Canis lupus familiaris: one gene and its partners. The protein of the gene in region 2 interacts with the protein of the main gene of each other region in a pairwise test. Links are inferred from orthologs where the notes say so. Each region holds a gene or a part of one and is shown on either strand. Other genes may lie near its edges.

The links.
Region 1: the proteins of U2AF2 (region 2) and PRPF3 interact in binary tests that used the Homo sapiens proteins (3 or more experiments, as listed by UniProt). The link is inferred for Canis lupus familiaris from reciprocal best matches to the Homo sapiens genes U2AF2 and PRPF3.
Region 3: the proteins of U2AF2 (region 2) and KHDC4 interact in binary tests that used the Homo sapiens proteins (3 or more experiments, as listed by UniProt). The two-hybrid records come from large-scale screens. The link is inferred for Canis lupus familiaris from reciprocal best matches to the Homo sapiens genes U2AF2 and KHDC4.

What each region holds. Positions count from the first base shown.
Region 1 is NC_049238.1:60,207,685-60,212,830, reverse strand, and holds the start of PRPF3 (U4/U6 small nuclear ribonucleoprotein Prp3), read right to left. Parts: upstream 3,225-5,146; 5' UTR 2,839-3,224; intron 2,547-2,838; exon of another isoform or gene 2,279-2,546; intron 1-2,278. UniProt on the Homo sapiens protein: Plays a role in pre-mRNA splicing as component of the U4/U6-U5 tri-snRNP complex that is involved in spliceosome assembly, and as component of the precatalytic spliceosome (spliceosome B complex).
Region 2 is NC_049222.1:102,846,776-102,851,271, forward strand, and holds part of U2AF2 (splicing factor U2AF 65 kDa subunit), read right to left. Parts: intron 4,255-4,496; coding exon 4,138-4,254; intron 4,000-4,137; coding exon 3,861-3,999; intron 1-3,860. UniProt on the Homo sapiens protein: Plays a role in pre-mRNA splicing and 3'-end processing. By recruiting PRPF19 and the PRP19C/Prp19 complex/NTC/Nineteen complex to the RNA polymerase II C-terminal domain (CTD), and thereby pre-mRNA, may couple transcription to splicing.
Region 3 is NC_049228.1:41,859,229-41,864,314, forward strand, and holds the start of KHDC4 (KH homology domain-containing protein 4), read left to right. Parts: upstream 1-1,862; 5' UTR 1,863-1,946; coding exon 1,947-1,984; intron 1,985-2,462; coding exon 2,463-2,679; intron 2,680-5,086.

The sequences.
Region 1 (5,146 bases), on a different chromosome or scaffold from region 2:
TTCGATCCCGGGTCTCCAGGATCGCGCCCTGGGCCAAAGGCAGGCGCCAAACCGCTGCACCACCCAGAGATCCCGGTTTCCCTTCTTTTTAGAGATGAAAAAAAAAAAAAGAAGGAGGGCTTATCCAGGTAAGCCATCCAATATTAAAGCTCTTAATCTGGACAGCCTAAGTGGCTCAGTGGTTTAGTGCTGCCTTCAGCCCAGGGCCTGATCCTGGAGACCCAAGATCAAGTCCCACATCAGGCTCCCTGCATGGAAACTGCTTCTCCCTGTGCCTGTATCTCTGCCCCCCGCCCCATGAATAAATAAATAAAATCTTAAAAAAAATAAAATAAAGCTCTTAATCTGGGGTGGCTGGGTGGCTCAGTGAGTCAAGCATACGACTCTTGATTTTCAGCTCAGGTCATGATCTTGGAGTTATGGGATTGAGATTCCTACACTGGGCTGCACACCTAGTGTGGAGCTTGGGATTCTCTTTCTCCCTCTCCCACTGGCCTTCCACCAGGTTATTTAAAAAAAAAAAAAAAAAAAAAAGGCTCATCATCCTGGGCACCTGGCTGGCTCAGTCAGTAGAGCATGCAACTCTCAATCCCAGGGTTGGGAGTTCAAGCCCCCGCATTGAGAATGTGTTGAGCCTACTTCAAATAAATAATTTTTTTAAAAACAATAAAGTTCATAATACCTAAGAATGTTGTCACATTTCTCTGTAGTCATAGTCATCCCCATGGAAATTCTGTACCCAGATCATTTTATGTTCTACGAGATCTCTATCAGTTGACTTCACAAAATTAATCCCTCAGCTCAGAAAAGAATACCCTCATTTTGGATGTGCTTTCTCTCCCTTTTCTTTCTTTCTTTCTTTTTTTTTTTTTAAGATTTATTTATTTGAGACACAGAGAGAGAGGCAGAGACATAGGCAGAGGGAGAAGCAGGCAGCCTGATGCAGAACTCAATCCCAGGACCGTGGAATCATGACCTGAGCCAAAGGCAGACACTCAACCACTAAGCCATCTAGGCACTCCTCTCTCCCTTTACATCTTTATTCCTTTCTTTTTAGCTTTTAGCTTAGCAGAGAAAACATTATCATAAAGAACTCTCTATAACAAATTTTAATTATTTACCCAAGTTAGCAATTCTTCAAAATTATTCATGTTTACATTTTGCTCTCCTAGTTAAACAGTAAAGCCTGGAATGCCTGGGTGGCTCAGTGATTGAGCGTCTGTGTTCAGCTCAGGGAGTGATCCCCCCCAGGTCTGGGGATCGAGTCTCACATTGGGGTCTCTGCGAGAAGGCTGCTTCTCCCTCTATGTCTCTGCTTATGTCTCTGTGTCTCTCATGAATAAATCTTAAAAAAAAAAAAAATAGCATAGCTCATGAGCAGAGAGAAAATGTTATTTCCCTGATTTTCTCACTAAGTGCCTAAAGCTAATAAACAGCACTGACCTCAATTTTCAAGCTAACTTCCTCACAGCAGTGCTACAAATCAGGGTCTCTGAGAGTCAATCTTTCAAGATTTTTTGTTTATTTTTTAAAGACTTTATTTGAGAGAGAGAGAACATATGAGCGGTGGGGAGAGGCAAAGGGAGAGGGAGAAGCTGAATCCGGACTTGATCCCAGGATGCTGGGATCATGACCTGAGCTGAAGGCAGATGCCAAATTGACTGAACCACCCAGGCACCCCTCAAGATATTTTAAGACATCTTTTTTCTCTTAAAAGATGGTCTAATTAACTTCTACTTTCTTGGCAGGTTTATTCTCTATAAGACCTGTTGCTAAACTGTGTATTTAATTTTGGTATAACCACTGGAAGCTAGTAGATTAACGTAATGAAAATAGGAGTGAAAGATTTTGTGTGCCTCAGGACATGTTATATGAATAATTCTATGGCAGCTCTACTCACCTCTCATGATATAGCAGTATAGTGTATAAATCAATACATATTAAATGTACGTTACTCAAAAGAAGCAGATTCAGACCCCAAAATGAGTGAAGAAAAGAGTTCACACTGAACATTTGAAATATCGAACTCTTATTTGGCAAGTAATTCCTCTGAGCCTCAGTTTACTTGTCGTACAAAATGAAGCCAATTGCCATATCTAAATAATCCTTAATCATTCAATAAACACTGCATAAGTACTAGGTCTCAAGCAGTGTACTGTGTGCTGAGGATACAAGTGAACAGACAATCCTCGCCTTAATGGGGCTTATATTCCACCAGAATTGAATCATGGGCTAGAAAGGGTAAGCATTTTGAAAATCCAAAGAACAAATCACGTACCGCTCTATCAGATGAAATGTGTGCTCAAGTACCATACTAACAAATGTATTCAACTTCAACCCAATCCTCTAGGAAATTAAACAGTCAGTGGGCAAAAATAAAAGTTTCAAACAGTAACTAGCTTTTTGTCACTAATCAAATGTTCGACAATAACTGCCTCGGGCGGGGCGGGGGTGGAAGTAGAGGAAGGCAGGATCTCTGAGCAGGTAGGAGAATCCAATCTTCTGAAAAATTTCCTTACTCCGTGTTCTTCCCTGCTAACCTGACTTTCCCCCCTGCAACTCCCATTCTTCTGTTTGCTATCTCCGACCGGTTCCCTACCCCACCCTGTTCTCCCCAAACTCCTCATCTTACAGCTAGTCTCCCCACCCCGTCCCCTTCCCGCCCCCGCCCTTTTCCTCCTCACAATCTCACTCCAACCCATTCTCCCTCAGAACCCTGTACTTCTCTCAGCTTCCTTCCCACTGAACGTTCCCGCCTCGGTCCTCCCCGTGGGCTGAGTCCCGGCCCTCGCTGCTCAGACAGGAGGATACCCTCAAAGGGCCCGGGGCACTACTCACCTCACAAACTTCAGCCTCTGAGACGGAGCCCGAACGTTACACCGGAACCGGAAACCCTCGGACCGCCCTACGGCCTGCCGTCGCTACCGCCACAGCTGCCGCCACGCCGCGGTCCCCCACATGTGACGGCGAAGGGCCGGGCCACCGATTTGCGCAGCCGTAGTAGCTACTTTCTCTGCGGCGGAGCGCATGCGTGCCAGGGCAGTAAAGTTTGCGCATGAAAGTTCCTGCGTCTTTGGGTTTCTCCAGCTAAATCTGGTAACTAGATTACTGCGAAGTTAATGTTGCCTGAAGCAGAAATTGGGCTTGCAGTACTCACAGTGTGAATAAATGCGCTAAAAGCGAGGCTTCTGGGACGCCTGGGTGGCTCAGTGGTTGAGAGCCTGCCTTGGGCCCAGGGCGTGATCCTGGAGACCTGGGATCGAGGCCCACGTCGGGCTCCCTGCATGGAGCCTGCTTCTCCCTCTGCCTCTGTCTTTGCCCGCCCCCCCCCCCCATGATTAAATAAATAAAAATCTAAAAAAAATTTTTATTATTATTATTTTTTTTTAAAAAGCGAGGCTTCTGGGTTCGGGCTAAACTGAGCCTTTCTGGTAGGCAGTAAACCATCTTGAGAGGCGGCACCACTTTAACCTTTTTCCCTTACTTAAGTGTAGTGTCAGAGACCACCAAGAAAAATGACTAACATAGGACGACTCCGAAGATAGCATGCCCTCCATCTGTGCCTTTTATGGTTTCATTCATTCATTGGCGTAATACTTATTGACTGCCTACTGCCATATGCCAGACATCCTCTGAAAATCGATATTGCTTAAACTAAGGACAGGGGCTTTAAAGTCAGACTGCCGAGATTTGTATTCTAGATCTCACGCGTTAGCTATGAAAGCAGGCAAATTACTGAAGCCCTGTTTCCTCACCTGTTAAAAAAAATTCTCTTCACAGGGGCTGCTCTGAGGTCAACAATGACAGAATGAGGGTAATGCACTTAAAACAGTGCTTTTCATAGAGTTAAATAAGCTATATTACATATAATAGTCAATTGCCTATTTAGTCTGGAACACATCTTAAGTTTACACGATAATGAAAACTAAACTCATGATTTCACACCGCATCCGCCCTGCCAAAATACCAGCTCCAAGTCTTCATTCTCAGTTAAGAGCAACTGTATTACAGTTTCGGCAGGCCAATAATCTTGGAATCATCCTGGACTCCTGTGTTCTGTTGGTCCTGCTTTCAAATACATACAGAACCCACTTGTTTCTCACCACCTCCACTACTCTCATTTTTATGTTTCGATTATTTTAGGAGCCTCCTGCTTCCAGTCTGTCCCCCTTTTGTCTCATAATGTAGGTTAATAAGCAAATTATCTAGTACTAGAAAGGCAGCTATTATAGTGACCATGTAAACACCTCAGAAAGGTCGTTATGTCCTTGCTTAAAACCATTTCTTGGCTCTTCATACAATTCAGAGTAAAATGTGCCACTCTATTACCTCTGTGATTTCAACCTACCACCACTCTTTCCCTCACTCATTCAACTCCAGAATCGTAATCCCTTTTACTCCTTGAACATGCCAAGGATAATTTCACCTCAAGGTCTTTGGATTTGACGTTCTCTACATGGATTGCTCTTTATCCAAGTATAGGATTTGCTTCCTCCATCCCCTTCAAATTTGTATTCAAATATGACTTCAGTGAAGCCTTTCCGATCACCCTGTTAAATTCTGAAGCCTGTTTGGCACTCTCAATTCCCCTTATATTTCTTTTTTCCATAGAACTTCGTACCACCTACCATATCAGTACTAGTTTATTTATGCTTACTGCTTATCATTTGACTCCCTCTGCTAGAATATAAACTCCTTAAAGAGAGGAATCATTGTCATTGATATATCCTAAATGCCTACAGAAGCACGTGGCACAATTAAACAAGTATCTGTTGAAGTAAAGAATGAATATTTTTTGGCAGCAGATCTTGCAGGCCTCAGAACCTGCTGAAGTCTGTTTTTCACCTAAAGAAGAAAAAGGCCTAAGGCATTTTGTTTCACATTGTCTTTATATCTCCAGGACCTAGGATAGTACCAAATAAAATTAAAAGGCTCAAAAAATGATGAAACAGTAAGACTTGCCAGAACTTGTTTTCTCATTCTATCAGTAAGCCTGCATTTTTCCTTTTCTTCAAAATAAGGCTCTAAACCCTTTAAACCACTGCTTCTGAAAAGCACATATGTGGGCAAAGTATAATTTGGAAAAAACACATCCAATATTAGGCACATTTTCATATGTGGAAAATAAACCATTCTGTACCAGATT
Region 2 (4,496 bases):
GGTCAGACTCCCTGGGTTCAAATCTGGGGTACAGCACCAAGTGAGGCTCTATGTGTTCGCATCTATGACACAGGAGGATGAGGATGACCCACATGGGGCGTACACCTGAAATAGGGCCTGAGACCAGAGCTATAAATGACTGCAGACCCTGAGTGAACGACGGTTCTGAAGCAGGGGACTATTATCGTACAGAGTCACACAGCCAGAAAATGGGGATACCAATCAATCCCAGTGCCCAAAATCAAGCCCCTGGCAACATCCGCTCCCAATAGGATGGGCAGGGCAGCCCGGGTGGCTCAGTGGTTTCGTGCCACCTTCAACCCGGGGCCTGATCCTGGAGAACTGGGATCGGGTCCCACATTGGGCTCCCTGCATGGAGCCTGCTTCCTCTGCCTGTGTGTCTGCCTCTATCTATGTCTCATGAATAAATAAATAAAATCTTAAGAAAAAAAAAAAAAGGATGGACAGGCTCCTCCTCCCTGACCACACATCCACTCCTTCAGAGGGTCCACCTGGCACACACCTCCTCTCTGAAGGCCACACTAGACCCCCAAAGGCTGAGCAATCTTTCCCTGTGCCTAGAATACCACTTTCTCCTACCATGCACTCACCACCAGACCAGGCAGAATAGGACTCTGCCAAGGGAGTGGGTATAAGGGAGTGGGTACATGGGGGTGAGGCCCCAGTGGCAGGAGCCTGATGAGGGGGCGGGGGGGGGGGGGGGATTAGGACTCGGCCCTGCACGGGGAAGGGAGCCTGGCATGGCAGTGGGCGGGTGCTCACAGCTGAGCTGAACTCACACTGAATAACTACTGGGCTCCCCTGCTTCCAAAGACAGCTCTGGCCCACCCCCCACCTCAGTCTCCCTCTTGTCTTCAAAGAACCACCAGGATCCTGTCACCAGCACTCAACAGCAAGGCCTGACTTCAGGGGCAGATGAACTCAAGATTTCACAACCCCAAGTGATGCATGTTTAATCAACACATTTCCATCAAGGTCAGAAAGTTGCCTTCCAGGTTCCTGAACTGTTTCTCTTCCAGCCAAGAACATCTGCTAAATTTTATCACACATGCTTTCCTCTTTAGCCTCCTTGTATAATAAAATTGTTTTTTTTTTTAAACCAAAAAATGAAGACTGAAATATGAACTTCGCTATGAAAAGGTAACTAGAAGATGCTCAATCTACAAGCACAATCACACTTCCTGCCACCTGCCCAGGCACTAGTACTGCAGACCCTCAGGTCCCTCTGGGTGAGCAAATCCCAAAGAACAGAGATGGATGATGACCCACGCTTCAGCTGCTTAGTCACGCCAATAGTTACGTCTAGAAAGGGGCCCATGAATCTGGGAAGACGATCCAATACAAGCTATCCCTGACCCGCGAGGTCTCTGTTCCCACACGGTAAAGGGCCTGTGTCAGAAGGTGCTATGGAAGACCGCACAGCACCAACTCTAGAGACCATTATCATGCCTTGCCTTGCTCTCCTCCGGTCTGAAACAGGATCGCGGTACACACAACAGTGGCTGGCAAGCCTCTCACCAAAGAGCTGGGTGGCAAACATTTTCAGTTTGTGGGCCACGGGGTCTCTCATCCAAACTGACCGCTGCTGCAGAAAAGTCATACAGACGCTAGACAACGAGTGGACTCGGCTCTGTGCCAGTTAATCTTTATTTAAAAAAATGGGCAAGGGGCACCTGGCTGGCTCAGAAGGTGGAGCACATGCCTTTTGCTGAAGTACATGGAGTACAGTGAGTACATGAGTACACACCGGACGCAGAGCCCACTTTAGGAAAACAGGCTTACTGGTAAGCTACATTTGACCCCTAGCTGTCAGTTGCAGACTTTGTACTACACAGCTGTCACAAAAACTAACCTGATCCATGGACCCCACTCGGCAAAGTGCCTGACATAGTAAGCTTCGACAAGTAAGCAGGCTCCTTATATAATTAAAAACATCTTAAGAAGGGATCCCTGGGTGGCTCAGCAGTTTGGCGCCTGCCTTTGGCCCAGGGCACAATCCTGGAGTCCCGGGATCGAGTCCCATGTCAGGCTCCCGGCATGGAGCCTGCTTTTCCCTCCTCCTGTGTCTCTGCCTCTTTCTCTATCACAAATAAAAATAAATAAATAAATCTTTAAAAAAAAAAAAAAAAAATCTTAACACCTGGGTGGGGGCAGCCCTTGGTGGCGCAGAGGTTTAGCGCTGCCTGCAGCCTGGGGTGTGATCCTGGGGACCCTGGATCGAGTCCCACATCAGGCTCCCTGCATGGAGCCTGCTTCTCCCTCTCCCTGTGCCTCTGCCCCTCTCACTGTGTCTCTATGAATAAATAAATAAAATCTTTATAAAAAGAAAAAAAAAAAAAGAACACCTGGGTGGCTCAGTGATTGAGCATCCACCTTCAGCTCAAGTCGTGATCCCAGGGTCCTGGGAGTGAGTCTCAGGGAGGTTGCTTCTCCCTCTGCCTGTCTCTACCACTCTCCCTCTCTCATGAATAAATGAATAAAACCCTTAAAAAAATAAACCTTAAAACACTAAATTTATTTTGCACAGGGGCGCCTGGCTGACTCCCATCAGTTAGGTACCAACTCTTGATTCTGGCTCAGGTGTCATGATCTTGCAGTTGTGGGACCGAGCCCACAGTCAGGCTCTGCCCTCAGTGTGGAGTCTGCTCCAGATTTCGCCCCACATCCAACCCCACCTGCGCACATGTGCACGCTTTCTCTAAAGTAAACTCTTAAAAAGAGATTCACTTTAATACAAAGCAACGGCCTATAACTTCATCTAGAAATGCTCTCACAGACGTGCACCCACACAGAAATCATCTGATCAAACACTTAGTACATGTCAACATCGAAAAATACGCCTCAGTTACCGGAAACATTAGATCCACCAAACTTACCAAATTTATTACGGTGGAAAACACTGGAAACAAGGCAGGGAACCAGCACCCAGTCCTGAGGTGTCACCCTCTCTGGGACTCCATGTCCCCCGCTTTGTCAGCAGTGGACTCGATTTCTAAAAGGTGTCCTTCAGGGCGAAGCCTCAGCCAGCAGAAACCCACCTTCTGCTCCTCCCCCCCACCCCCTGGCCCAGACCATCCATGCCTACCACCTTTACTGGGAGAACACCAGGGACCTAAGATCCAGGCCCCCCAGTTCCACCACAGCACTGGCTTCTCCAAGCCCACTTTGCTCCCTGCACTCCAACAGGGCCTCCCAGAGGCACAAATCCTCACTTTCACCCATCTCACCACAGGGGACGGCAACCAGCCTGTAAGTCGAGTTAAGCCGGCTGTCTTTTTGTATAGCCTGCAAGGTTTTTTAGAAGCTATTGCACAACGTGTGGGTAATATACCAGGGCCACACCCACTCATTCAGCTATCACGAGGCGGCATACAGGTTGCCACGTCACAACAGAACAATTGTGACCCAGGTGACCCAGTCGGTATGGCCCACAAAACCAAAGATATTTACTATCTGACCCTTTTCAGGAAAAGATCACCGATTCCAGTCTGCTATGATCTCCACTGACCCAGACTACTACTAAACGTGGCTGTGGGGAATAGCCCAAAGCACAGAAGTCAGGAGAAACAGAGGCCAGACAAGGGAACGTCCAGCAGCCGACCCCACACTGAGAAACTGCTTGTGTTCACACTATGAGCTCACACGCTTATGCTCACAAAGTCCCAGAGCCAGAGCAGGAATGACAGCCAGGCAGCAAACCCTTCACCTCCCTCAACACCTCCCACAGCCACTGTGCATTCTCCTAAGGTTTGGGGAGATGGATGAGAAGCATTCATGCCATCTCCCAAGTAGCTCCAGCGGGGCTGGAGAGGGAAGCGTGGGACAAGGCCCCCACTCACCAGGGACGTAGACAGAGGGGTTCTCCGACATGCCAGGCAGGGGTTGGTAGTCATGAGGCCTACGGATCTTCAGCGACTGGCCCTGGAAGATGATGCCATCAAAGGCCATGGCCTGGGTGGTCTCATCCACTGAGCGGAACTGAAAGAGAAGGTGGTGGTACAGTGATGAGGATCAGGGTGCCGGGTGTACCACAGCCTGCAGAAGGGCCCTGGGCAGATCAAGGCTGCTGCAGAGAAAGAACACACACCTTCTGACCCCACAATGCAACCCGCTCACCTCCAAGAAAGCAAAGTTCTTGTCCTGGTTAATCTGCACAGCCAAGACGGGGTTGCCAGGAGCCTGGGTCAGACCCCCAAGGCGCATCTGGGCGTTGAAGAAATCCATCATGGCCTCCTGCAGAGGGAATAGGAGACAGGGGGGGGGCGGGGGGAGGGAGGTGGAGAGAGGAGGGGAGGGTGAGAGAGGGAGACACAGAGGGGTTTGGGGGGGAGGGGAGGGAAAGGGAAAGGGAGGGTGGAAGGAGAAAGGGAGGGAGCAGTGGAACAGGGGTGGGGGCAGAGAGATCAGCAGGGACAGAGACAGGAGAAGATTAGAGAAAGCAAGGAGGAGTAGGAGGCAGCAGCAAAAGACAGCCA
Region 3 (5,086 bases), on a different chromosome or scaffold from region 2:
TCAAGTACCCTTTTATTTTTACTTATTTTTTTAAGTAGGCTCCACGTCCAACTTGGGCTGTGACTAATACTGAGATCAAGAGTTGCCTACTTCGGGGATCCCTGGGTGGCTCAGGGGTTTAGCGCCTGCCTTTGGCCCAGGGTGTGATCCTGGAGTCCCGGGATCAAGTCCTGGGGTCGAGTTCCACTTCAGGCTTCCTGCATGGAGATTGCTTCTCCTTCTGCCTGTGTCTTTGCCTCTCTCTCTGTGTCTCTCATGAATAAATAAATTAAAATTAAAAAGAAAGAGTTGCCAGCTTTAACAATAGCCAGCCAGGTGCCCCAGTACTCTTTTATAAAAAGTAATATAGTTTATAAATATCATTTAAAAAAAAGGAAAAAATAATGTAATTTTAAAAAAAGACCTTATTCATTTATCTGGCAGAGAGAGAGAGCACAAGTGAGGGGAGGAGCAGAGGGAGAGGAGGAGTTGAAGGCAGCTGAAGGCAGACACCTAATGATTGATTGAGACACCCAGGCGCCCCTCCTTTTCTTTTTTTGAAGTAAGCTTCATGCCCAGTATGGAGGCCAGCCTGGGGATTTAAGCCATGACCCCGGAGATCAAGACCTGAGCTGAGATCAAGAGTCACATCTGCTACCAACTGAGCCATCCAGGCACCCTCCCCCCAACAATGTATTTTCAGACTCCCAACAACATTGTATTTGGGGGCAAGGGGCAAAAAGAAAACAATGCTGTTTAATCTGAAATTCTTCTTTTTTTTAATTTTTATTTTTTTAAGATTTTATTTATCCATTCATGAGAGACACACAGAGAGGAGGGCGGGGGGGGGGGGGGGGGGGCAGAGACACAGGCAGAGGGAGAAGCAGGCTCCATGCAAGGAGCCCGACGTGGGACTCGATCCTGGGACTCCAGGATCATGCTCCGGGGCGAAGGCAGGCGCTGAATCTCTGAGCCACCCAGGGATCTCTTAATCTGACATTCTTTAGAAAAATACACCTGTCAGAAAAGGCAAGGAAATATAGAAGGCAATGAGAATTGGCTTGCCCTAACAGATATTAAATATAGAAGTATTCAATAGATGCCGTAGCAAAAGAACAAATCCACGCAAAAGACTGAAAAAACATATTATCGTATATATAAAATTTCATAAATGATAAAGATGGTGTTTGTACCAAAGGGTAATTTATTAAACGCTGAAGGGAAAACACGAGTTTGGATTTCAAGTTAATCTGCAGTCTATTAATCCTACCAGCATGTGAACTCACTAGAAAAACAGCGCTGCGGGCTATCCACTGAAGAGAGTCTCCTCACAGCTCCAAGACCCGCCAACGGGGTCAGTCAGCGGTCACGGCCCACTCCGAGCCCCTCACCCGCCCCTCACCTCCGCTCTCCCGCCCGGGCGCCGGCGCCCCCTCGCGGCGCGCCCCCGAAGCCCCGCTTTGAAATCAATGGTTGGCACACAGACGTAAAACCACCGGAGAATTCTCCACATGACCTTTGGGATGAACCATTTGCCTTTTCCTAAACAGGTAACTGAAACATGAAGCGGGCCAAAGTTGCGGGCTTCGGCGTCCTCTCTCCTTGGCCAGAGGACGCGGCTGGACTGAGGGAAACACTTGTTTAATTCCCTGACTCATGCGTATTGTCCTGTAGACTACCAACCTGCCCACAACAAACATGAACCTCCTCTTCCCAATTCCGCCCCGATGCGCGCTTCAGCCGCCATCTTTCTCCAGGGCAGGGCGCAAGCAGGAAGGTCACACCCTACCTGTCTCCGATAACGCCAGACGCCTCGAAATCCACAAGAGTCCAATTGGAACCGACGCTTCCACCGGAACAGCTTTTCTACACGACCGGAAGGGGCTGTGCGTGAGGGCGTTGGGGGCGGAAGTGACGGGAGGGTGGTAGTGGGGTAGTTGGCGGGTGGTTGAGCAGAGCCGGTCGCCATGTCCGCGGGGAGCGCGACGCATCCCGGGGCTGGCGGGTAAAGCTTTCGTGGGCGAGGGCATCGCAGCCCGCACGGGGCGGAGGAGAGGCGGAGGGGCCAAAGGGAGCTGCCTGCGGGAAGTGGGGGGGCGCTGAGGTGGTACGCGTACGTGTCAGAGGGCTGGGCTTAGGGGGAGGAAGATGGTAAGCAGGCCTTGGGGCGCCCGAAAAAGGCCGGCAGGGAAGGGGGGGAGGAGGAGGAAGGCCGAGGCTTTCGGGAGCACCGGCCAAGAGAAGATGAGAACGAGGGTATGTGGGACTGACTGGAGCGTTTTGAGAGGGAGGAAGGAAGTAAGGAGATACTGCAGCAATTGTGTCTGTTCGGGGGGGGGGGGGGGGGGGAATGGTAATTTTAATATTGATAGAGACTCGAGGGTGTAAAGAGAACGTGGTAGCGGGGAAGCGGGGTGCCAGAGCGTGGTAAGGGAAGAATGATAGAAAAGCTTCGAAGCCTCACGTTTTCCTCTTCCTTGTAGACGCCGCAGCAAATGGGACCAGCCAGCTCCAGCCCCCCTTCTGTTCCTCCCGCCGGCAGCCCCAGGTGCGGAGGTGCCCAGCAGTGGGGGAAGCCCTGGGGGCTCCGCGGCTGCTCCTTCTGGAGCCTTGGACGCTGCTGCTGCTGTGGCTGCCAAAATCAATGCCATGCTCATGGCCAAAGGGAAGCTGAAACCAACTCAGAATGTTGCTGAAAAGGTATTTGAAGTTGAAGGGACTCTGTTAATTGTAACTTTAATTTTGTAATTAAAGGCTACTTAGTAATTCTGTAATTAAACAATTATTTGTGTTAAGGAGAAAACAAGGTTACAGTAATTTAAAGATCACTTAGTTTTGGAATGCATCATGTGATATTATGTCATTTGTTTTCATGAGGCAAGTTTGGTTGGTTTGATTACATTTATGGACCAAATAGTTCACTTTGTCTTCGCTCACGTAGTTCAGCTTAACTTCTATCTATGTAATCATTTAAAGCAATGATGCGAAATTTTTCAATACTTAGGCTTTTTCCCTGAAATCCAAAGAGATGTTCAGGTAAATCAAGTGACTTTAAAATGTCTCTAGTCAGCTGTACTAAAACGTAAATACATACGTACAACGTCCTTTCTAGTTAGAATCTATAGATTTTTAATAACTGCCTACAGTGTAGTTCAATGTGAAATGAAATGGATAATTTATATGTTGGTGGTTTTGCTGTTTTCACACAAACTGAAATTATTTGGTCATTTTAAAGAATTTCTGGTATAATTAAAATTTCACAACTAGAATAGATCTGAACTTTGAAGTCTTTATCTTGCAATGGAAGACCAACTTTTACAGGATGATGAGTATAGTGGCTGTTTGTACTGCTAGACTGCATGCTTTGCGCTTAAAAAAATCCCTTGCAGCAATTTGATGGAATGGATTACTGTCGCCAGTTTACAGAGGAGGAAAATAAGATTCGTGAATGTACATTGTATAAGATCTGTCAAGGCAGACATCTGACTTCAGAGTCAGACAATTGGGTGTCTAGCTTTTGTTTGAAAGTGTCTCTTGGGCAACCCTAGTGGCTCAGCGGTTTAGCCCTGCCTTCAGCCCAAGGCATTATCCTAGAGACCCGGGATCAAGTCCCAGGTCAGGCTCCCTGTATGGAGCCTGCTTCTGTCTCTGCCTGTGTCTCTGCCTCTCTCTTTCTGTGTCTCTCATGAATGAGTAAATAAAATCTTTAAAAAAAAAAAAAAAAAAGAATGTCTCTAGATTTGGAGAGTTCAGTTCTAAGGCAGCTTAGCTCATTATAATACACATTTGAAAAAAAAAGTTCTTTGACTTCAATTAAAAGTTGAAGCAAATAGATGGGTTCTGTGTTTAAAAATGCATTTTGGGGGTTCCCTGGGTGGCTTAGCGGTTTGATGCCGGCCTTTGGCCTAGGGCGCGATGCTGGAGTCCCGGGATCGAGTCCCACATCGGGCTCCTGGCATGGAGCCTGCTTCTCCCTCTGCCTGTGTCTCTGCCTCTCTCTCTCTCTCTCTCTATGTATATCATAAATAAGTAAATAAATAAATAAATCTTAAAAAATTAAAAAATAAAAATGCATTTTGGGTGAGTGGTGGATGTGTTAATAGCATGTTTGTGGTGATTATTTCCAGTGTATACATGTATCAGATCATCCGGTTGTTCATCTTAAATATATACAGTTTTTATTTGTCTATAATACCTCAGAGTTGAGAGGGAAAGATGATAGAGTTTTTTGTTAGCTGTCCAGTTTATAACATCAACAGAATGGCTATTATCTGTTTGGATGTTTACTCAAGTTCTGCAGAATTGATGGGAATTTTTAGTGAGTTGGAAGTTCATTATTCATCGTATTTTTTTTTTTTTTAAGATTTTATTTATTTATTCATGAGAGAGAGAGAGGCAGAGACACAGACAGAAGAAGCAGCAGGCTCTATGCAGGGAGCCTGACTTGGGACTCCATCCTGGGTCTCCAGGATCACGTCCTGGGCTGAAGGTGGCACTAAACCACTAAGCCACCAGGGCTGCCCTATTCGTTGTATTTTTAATTGTAAAGATTGAGTCAATTGTCCATTTTTAAGTTCTGAAAGGAAATTTTTATTTCTTTTAAGGTTTTATTTATTTAGTCATGAGAGACACACAGAGAGAGGCAGAGACACAGGCAGAGGAAGAAGCAGGCTCCACGCAGGGAGCCCGATGCAGGGCTCGATCCGGGGTCTCCAGGATCAGCCCCTGGTCGCTAAGACGCTGAGCCACCCGGGCTGCCCGCTGCAAGGAAATATTAAAAGCACACTGACAAAGATGGAATGCTCCTTCAGTATTAAAATTATTTTTCTTTATTTTTTATTTTATTTTCTTGAGTGTTAAAATTTTTAACGCTGATGTTAATCCTTTATTCCTTTTTTCCCCACTTCTAAAAAGCAATTGAGGGGCATCTCTGGGTGGCTCAGTGGTTTAGTGCCTGCCTTTCGCCCAGGGCGTGATCTTGGAGTCCCGGGATCGAGTTCCGCATTGGGCTCTCTGCATGGAGCCTGCTTCTCCCTCTGCCTGTGTCTCTGCCTCCTCTGCCTCTCTCTCTCTCTCTCTCTCTCTCTCTCTGTGTCTATCATAAATA